2 linked regions of the Canis lupus familiaris genome follow. The protein of the gene in region 1 interacts with the protein of each later gene in a biochemical or structural test. Links are inferred from orthologs where the notes say so. Each region holds a gene or a part of one and is shown on either strand. Other genes may lie near its edges. The genes, in order: MALT1 and RELB.

The links.
Region 2: of the proteins of MALT1 (region 1) and RELB, one has a biochemical effect on the other in vitro, tested with the Homo sapiens proteins (2 studies listed by BioGRID). The link is inferred for Canis lupus familiaris from reciprocal best matches to the Homo sapiens genes MALT1 and RELB.

The regions. Positions count from the first base shown.
Region 1 is NC_049222.1:17,505,881-17,509,698, forward strand, and holds part of MALT1 (mucosa-associated lymphoid tissue lymphoma translocation protein 1), read right to left. Parts: intron 2,274-3,818; coding exon 2,107-2,273; intron 1-2,106. UniProt on the Homo sapiens protein: Protease that enhances BCL10-induced activation: acts via formation of CBM complexes that channel adaptive and innate immune signaling downstream of CARD domain-containing proteins (CARD9, CARD11 and CARD14) to activate NF-kappa-B and MAP kinase p38 pathways which stimulate expression of genes encoding pro-inflammatory cytokines and chemokines.
Region 2 is NC_049222.1:111,145,046-111,148,638, forward strand, and holds the end of RELB (transcription factor RelB), read right to left. Parts: intron 1,415-3,593; coding exon 1,026-1,414; 3' UTR 596-1,025; downstream 1-595.

The sequences.
Region 1 (3,818 bases):
GAGGCATTTACAGAAGACCTATTATATCATCTACATTAGGCCTCGGGAAGCAGAGGAGGATCTTAAGAGTCTAAGTTTCCTGACTTATAATCTAGGGTCCTTTCCATTTGTAGCGGACTCTTAAGTTACCTCCTCAGCATATTATGCTGGCCCACTTTCGTTTGGTAATCCACGTAGTTTCTGGAAAGCTGACTCAACCCAACTTCTCTCCTGGGTCTAAGCCAGCAAATGGGCACATTCCATCTCCTTCGCCACAGTGACAGGTGTAGGGACAAGCATGTCATTGAAATTAGTTAGCAAGAGTGAATCTTTTTTTTTTTTTTAATTTTTTTTAAATTTATTTATGATAGTCCCAGAGAGAGAGAGAGAGAGAGAGAGAGAGAGAGGCAGAGACACAGGCAGAGGGAGAAGCAGGCTCCATGCACCGGGAGCCCGATGTGGGATTCGATCCCGGGTCTCCAGGATCGTGCCCTGGGCCAAAGGCAGACGCCAAACCGCTGCGCCACCCAGGGATCCCAGCAAGAGTGAATCTTATTATGATTTTTGCTGGAACAAAGATGAATGCAAGGAACAGTCAGGAGAGCTCTTGCAACTATGTAGAAAGTCACTCTTGGAAGGAAGCCAAAAACAAGAAAGGAGGGGCAAAGATGAAAACAAACCAATTCTTTGAAAACAGGGCTGTCCTCAGCCTCTCTTGAAGCCCAACCTGCTTCAAGACTTTTCAGTTAGAAGATTCCGGAACCCCAGAACTGACAAAGATCTAAATTATAATTTTAGGTTCCCCATGTTAACTTCAAAACATTATCACAAATAAGCCGGTTATGTAATAAAAACTGCATACATCAAAACCATGTAAAATAGAGAGCATGAGTCCTTAGACCATGGACCTCTCAATCTTGACTGGTTTCTCTGCTTCTAGTGGAACCTATAATGGTGAACCAAACCCCTGAGAGAGAAGGTCTGCGGTGCTGGTGCCATCAAGTGACTTAGATCACATGGTTTCTCCTGCCTGACACTGCTGCAGCAGACCAACTTTATCTGTCATTGTGGAGACAAGGGGCTGTTTCCTATTCCTCACACCTGACCCTGGAAGTGAAAAATCTCTCAATATTGGTATGATCAGAAGAAAAATCACGGTTGAATCAATCAACATTTCAAAAGCATCATGTTGGTGAAATACTTAAACAATAAACATTTATTATATATGCTTTATCTCATTTGTCTACATATTAATACATACTTATTTTTTTGGCTGCATTTTTTTCTTCTTTCTTTTCTTTTCTTTCTTTGATTCTTTGTTTTCTTTCTTTTTCTTTCTCTCTTTCAAAGTAAACTCTACCCCCAACGTGGAGCTCAAACTCACAACTCTAAAATCAAGAATCACAGGCTCTACTGACTGAGCCTTGGCTACACTATTTCAACACGAGTTATAGAAATCTTACCCGTAGAGGCACCTGGTTGGCTCAGTAGGGTAAGCATCTGCCTTCAGCTCAGGTCATGATCTCAGGGTCCTGGGATCGAGCTCCACATCACTGCTCGGCAGGGAATCTGCTTCTCCTTCTCCCTCTGCCCCTCCCCCACTTCATGCTCTCTATTTTGCTTTCTTTCTCTCAAATAAATAAAAATCTCTAGAAACAAAAAAGAAATCTTACCCCTAAATAATACTTTTTTTAAGTAGGCTTCACGCCCAACGTGGGGCTTGAACTCACGACCCTGAGGTGAGAGTTGCATGCTCTACCAGCTGTGCCAGCCAGGTGCTCCATCCCCTAAATACTTTAGCATGCATCTCCTTGGAATAAAGACATTCTTCTATAGAGCTACAATACCATTATCATATGATAATTCCCTAATATCTAATACACTTGTTAAATCCAAATGGTTTTACAAGTCCCCAAAATATCATCTATAGTTGATGCTTTTGAACCACAACCCAATAAATATTTATGCATTATACTTGTTTTTCATGTGTTCTTTAGTTTCAACCTGGAAGGAAAAAATGTTTATATTTTCCAAAAATATTTAATACAATTCATTGTCAAATGAGAGATCTTCCTCTACGTTTGTCTACACAAACTCCTGGAGAACAGACCCAAGAGAAGAACCTACCTGGGGGGCTAAGAAGCAGAAGAACCTCCGTGTGCTCCATAGCCTGCAGGAAGTCACTCAGTTCTGTGACCGTACAACCTTTCTCACCCATCAGCTTCAGTAAACATAAGCTTGGACTTCCTTCAGGCTCCAAGACCTTAAGAGAACACTGCTCCAAGTCCAGACAACTGCAAACAACAGATTTAATTCAAGTCAACAGGATTCTCCAACATGATATGCCTGCTACATGTCTGGTATGAACTTCTGTAGGGATAAACTGTAAGTCACCGGTGCAGTTATTTACGTTATGAATGCTCCTGTCCTTTCCTTCTTCTGCCATCATAGAGGATTCCTCTTTATGCCCTTCTCCAACTCAGCTCCTGTGACTACTAAATTAGAAAATGAGAGAAATCTTGAAACAGGATAGAAGTTTGGCTCTGATGTCAATAAAAATTTTTATCTAATTTGGGAATACTGATTAGAAAGACCAGATACCTTTCTCTACTCATTCTTCTGCCTTTATAAAGTATAATATGACCCAAGAAAGAGGCATTTTGAAAAATGAAAAAACTTAATATACAGTATTTTGTATTAGCAAAGTAGTGTGCTTACATATATATTCAATATGATTAAAGATAAGGAACAGTGTTTGTTCTGCATGATATCATTTTTATTAGTAAGAATATATATTTGCTCTTATATGTACAGAGTTAACTTTGACAAGATAGCCAAGAAGCCAGTAGTAGTAATTCTCCTACAGAGGAGAGCCAGGGCAGCTGGAGGATTCACTTTTTACTATAAACTCTTGTGTACTGTCAAATTTTTCTTACTATGTGTCCTCATTTTTTTCAACAGTTTTTAAGACTAGCAGTACTACTAACATTCAAAGTACTTCTAAGCATCTAGAAATACCTTAATACAGGGGCAAGACAAAATCTGGTCTGTGGGTCAAACCCACCCAGCCACCTGATCTTGTAAACACAGCCTCACTCGTTCACATACATATTTACAGTGGTGGATGGCTGCTTTCCGTTGTAACAGCAGAGGTGAGCAGTTGGTCCACAAAGCTGAAACACATGGACTATTTAGCTCTTTGTAGAAAAAGTTTGCTGACCTCTGTCCCAAAGAACCTACTCTCTGTCTCACTGTCCTTTTGTTAAAACTATTCTTTTAACTATCACTAATTTTTATTTTATTAATTTTTATTTAAATTTAATCTGAGCTAACACATAGTACATCATTAGTTTCAGATGTGGTTTTCAATAATTCATCAGTTGCGTATAATACCCAGTGTTCATCACATCACGTACTACCACTATTTAACATACATATACCATTTCCTTTTCAATGTCATTGTGTTCAGTAGGCATATACAAGGTTAGAAAGCCAGGTTAAGGTCAGACAACAGAAAGTCATAAATAACAGGACAAGAAGTATGGACTTCAACCATTTCATAGGAAGAGAAAGCGTAAGTATGAAACATTCAAGAGAAGAAAAACAAGAAAGTTAAACCAAACAATCAAAACAACAAAAAAAACCCCCAAAATCTTCCCAAAGAGACATAACCAACAACAAAGGCCAAAGCCTTTAGATAATCTCCATGACATACTGCAGAATTCGTACCTCACACACCTTTGCAGCGACCTCTCCCTTTCCTGCCAATTTAAATTATAGTCCCAATATATAAACTGTAGAGTCTCTGTGGAGTTCACCCAGACCACACAAGTCCCCCA
Region 2 (3,593 bases), about 94 Mb from region 1:
AGGCTTGTAGACAGGGGCGGAGCCCGAGGCTCTGGACTGGGCTCGGGGACCGCGTCCGGGCCTCGCAGATCAGGGTAAGGTTTTTGACAAGGGGGTGGGGCCTGTGGTAGGCGGCGGGGTCGTACGCGGCGAGCTTGGGCCCACCGCGGGGACAGGGGCGCGGCCTGAGGCGCGGCAGGCCGGAGGGGGTGCGGGGCCGGCGGCCCTCGGGGCTGGGGCCGAGCAGAGGCTCACAGCAGCCCGGGGAAAGGCCGAGACTGGGGCGAAGCTGGGCTGACGCCCCCCCGAAAGCCAGAAGGTCGGGGCCCACTGCCTGCACTCACCGGCTCGTCGCCGCCTCCCACCGCTGCGCTCGCGCGCGGCCCGCACCGGAAACGGAAGTGGGAGGCCGCACGAAAGGGAGGGGCGGAACGTGGAGAAGCGCGCTTCCGCTGACGCGAAGGGGCGGGCCCCGGGCGCGAGGGGGCGGGGTCTGGACGCGAGGGGCGGGGTCTTGGAGGATGCTGCCGAGAGAGGCGGAGCCGAGGAGATCCCCGTGGGTTCGTGCGTGAGCGCCCTGGGGTCTCCCCAGCGGAGAAGACAGCAGACTCCCAAGGCTCAAAAACTCATCTTTATTGGGAAGACTCACAACAAACAATCTTTATCCCCCACCTTCAAGCTCGGGGGAGGAGAGCTGAGGATCTGCACCTTTCTCCCATTATGTACACTCCAGAATCCACCTGGAGAAGGCGCCCCCACTCGTGGGGGCTGAGGCAACTTTACAAGCTGGTGCATGGGAGCCAAGCCCCTTTTCCTCTCCGGACTCGGTTTTCTCATTTGTAAAATGGGCTCAGGGGAAACCGGTGCTACGGAGCTTCTCACCAGCGCCAAAGATGTCCCATTAAGAAGGATGAGGAGATCGGAAGACTGACCACTTGGGGGCCCACGGGTATGGAGGTGCGGTGCGGGACATCCTCGTTGGGTTTGCACGGCCCCTTCCACCTCCAGTCCTCCCCACCCAGTGCCTCTCCTCCAGCACCTCAGGGCTACGTGGCCTCGGGCCCCGGGGACAGGAGGCCTCCCCCAAAGCCCACCTCACGGTACTGGTTGGGGAACATGTTGCTGCCCACAAGGCTGGCAGTGCCCCCGTCCCCGGGGCCTGGGGCCTGATATGAGTCCAGCGTCATTGGCTCAGGGCCGGAAGGCTCTCCAACAGCCGGCCCTGCAGCCCCATTGCCCGTGACAGCGCTGGCGAGTGGCGGCGCAGGGGGCAGCATGTCCAGCATGGTGAAAAGTGTGGGGGCCGTGCTGTCATCATAGGCAAAGCTGTCGTCCAGAAGGTCCGGCCCACCGGGGGGCTCCAGGCCGGGTAGGGACACGGTGCCAGGGAAGAAGTCTGTGTCTGGCAGCAGGGCTGACGGTGGGAGGAACGGGCCTGCACAGATGAGAGGGAAGGAAAATAGGGTGGCTTTAGCATCAACTTCTGGCCATGCCCAAACTCCAGTGACCTAATAGAGCTAAATGCATGATCACCGTGGCCTCCTTTAATCCCAAGGAGAACCCTGGGGTAGGCATTATCACCATTCGCACTTAATAAGCAAATTGAGGTCAAGAGCGCCTGGGTAGCTCAGTGGTTGAACATCTGCCTTCTGCTCAGGTCTTGATCCCAGGGTCCAGGGATCGAGTCCCACATCAGGCTCCCTGCATGGAGCCTGCTACTCCCTCTGCCTCTCTCTCTCTGCTTCTCTATGTCTTTCATGAATAAATAAATAAATAAAATCTTAAAAAAAAAAAAAGCAAACAGGCAAAATAATTCAGTCACACATAGCTGGTAAGTTGTAGAACCAGGGTTCAAACTATGCTTCTGCAGGGCTGGGGAGTTTTTCCAAAAAATAAGGATGTTGAAGAGGCTCTAAAGTCCTCCCCTCACCCAAGTTATAGAGACCACCCAAAAAGTGAAAGCCCCACACATGGAAGACCTAAATGAGAAGTCACCAGTTCCCAAATTGGAAGGTAAAATTGTATGTCATTATAAAGGAGAGTCTCTTTCTGAGACAAGACAAACCTGACCAGCAAAGGCAAATTATGCTTATCTCAGAAAGACTCAGGGCTGCTGGGACTCTATTTCCCAGCCTCCCTTACAGCTAAATGTCATCATGTGACTTAAGTTCTCCTGGCTGGACTATGGGTGTGATGGCTGGAGCCTCAGCAGCCATATTGGACCATGAGATGGAAAATGAGTTGAAAATGGCAGGAGCTTGGTTGGGTCTCTGATGATCCTACAGCCTCCACACCATCCCAGGACTATCTACCACTGTTTATCTGAGAAGAGAAATATAGCCTGTTGAAGCCCCTGTTAATTTGGGTTTTGTTGTGAATACAGCTAAACATGATCATAACAAATGCATTCCTGGCATTCCTGTCCAGCAAGTTCCTAAGATCTCCTGAGCACTAACTATGCTAACTATCTGTGTGATATGACCTGACTAGATTCTAAAAAGGACCCTAAGAGGTAAGATTTCCATCTGACAGATGAGATCCAAAGAAGTCACATGGCTAAATTCAGGCTTCAGAATCCAAACTCAGTCTGATTCCAGAGGCCATGCTCCTAACCATTATACTATCATGCCAGAGCAGCTTTGCCCCATGGATGAGAGAGGAGGGCTTTAGGCATTGGGAAACGGGTGATGGAGGACGTAGATGAACAGCAGTGGCTAAAGAGGAGACGCTTTGGGACTTGGGGATTGAAGACTGGTGAAGTGGGCTAGGATTGGTTGTTGCTATAGGTAGAGCTCTGGGCATTAGTTACCAGGTGCAGTGGGTAGGGGGAACAACAGGTGATACTTGAAACCTCCACAGTGGGACTGGTTGGAGTGATCCAGGCTCAGCAGACTCTGAGTGGCTGGCTGTTGGTGGCTGGCTGGGAGCTGGGTGCCCTGGGGTAGCTGGGGTATTAGGGGACAGCACTGTTAGAGCTAGTGGTCAGCGGCTGGGGAGGCTTCTGATGGCAGCCAGATAAGGCTGCAGTTCATGGGAAGCAGAGGCTGGCATATGAGTTAAGATGAAAGCAGGGGTAGAACAGGCCAGAGGGTGTTTGGGCTAGAGACAGGCTCTGAATTAAGGCTGGTTGGCTCTGACAACCCCTCCCATTTATCTACCATTTACCCCCTGCTATCTGTTCCACATAATATTGTATCACTAATCTACCTGTATAGATGCCCAGGTTCAAGTCCCTGCTCCACCGCAAATGCAGTATGTGACCTTGGCTAAGAGACTTCAGCTTCCCGGGCCTCAGTTTCTTTATCAGTAAAATGAGGGGGGAAGTGATGTGATGGTATAGATTCAATGAGTAAACATACACAAAGCACCTATGTACCCATTATATAGTGTCTATAAAAAGAAATGCAATAAAATCTAAAAGGCCAGGCAGCCAGGGTGGTTCAGCAGTTTGGTGCCATCTTCAGCCCAGGGCCTGATCCTGGAGACCTCGGATCGAATCCCACGTCAGGCTACCTGCATGGAGCCTGCATCTCCCTCTGCCTGTGTTTCTGCCTCTCTCTCTGTGTCTCTCATGAATAATAAAATAAAATCTTTTTTTTTTAAATTTTTATTTA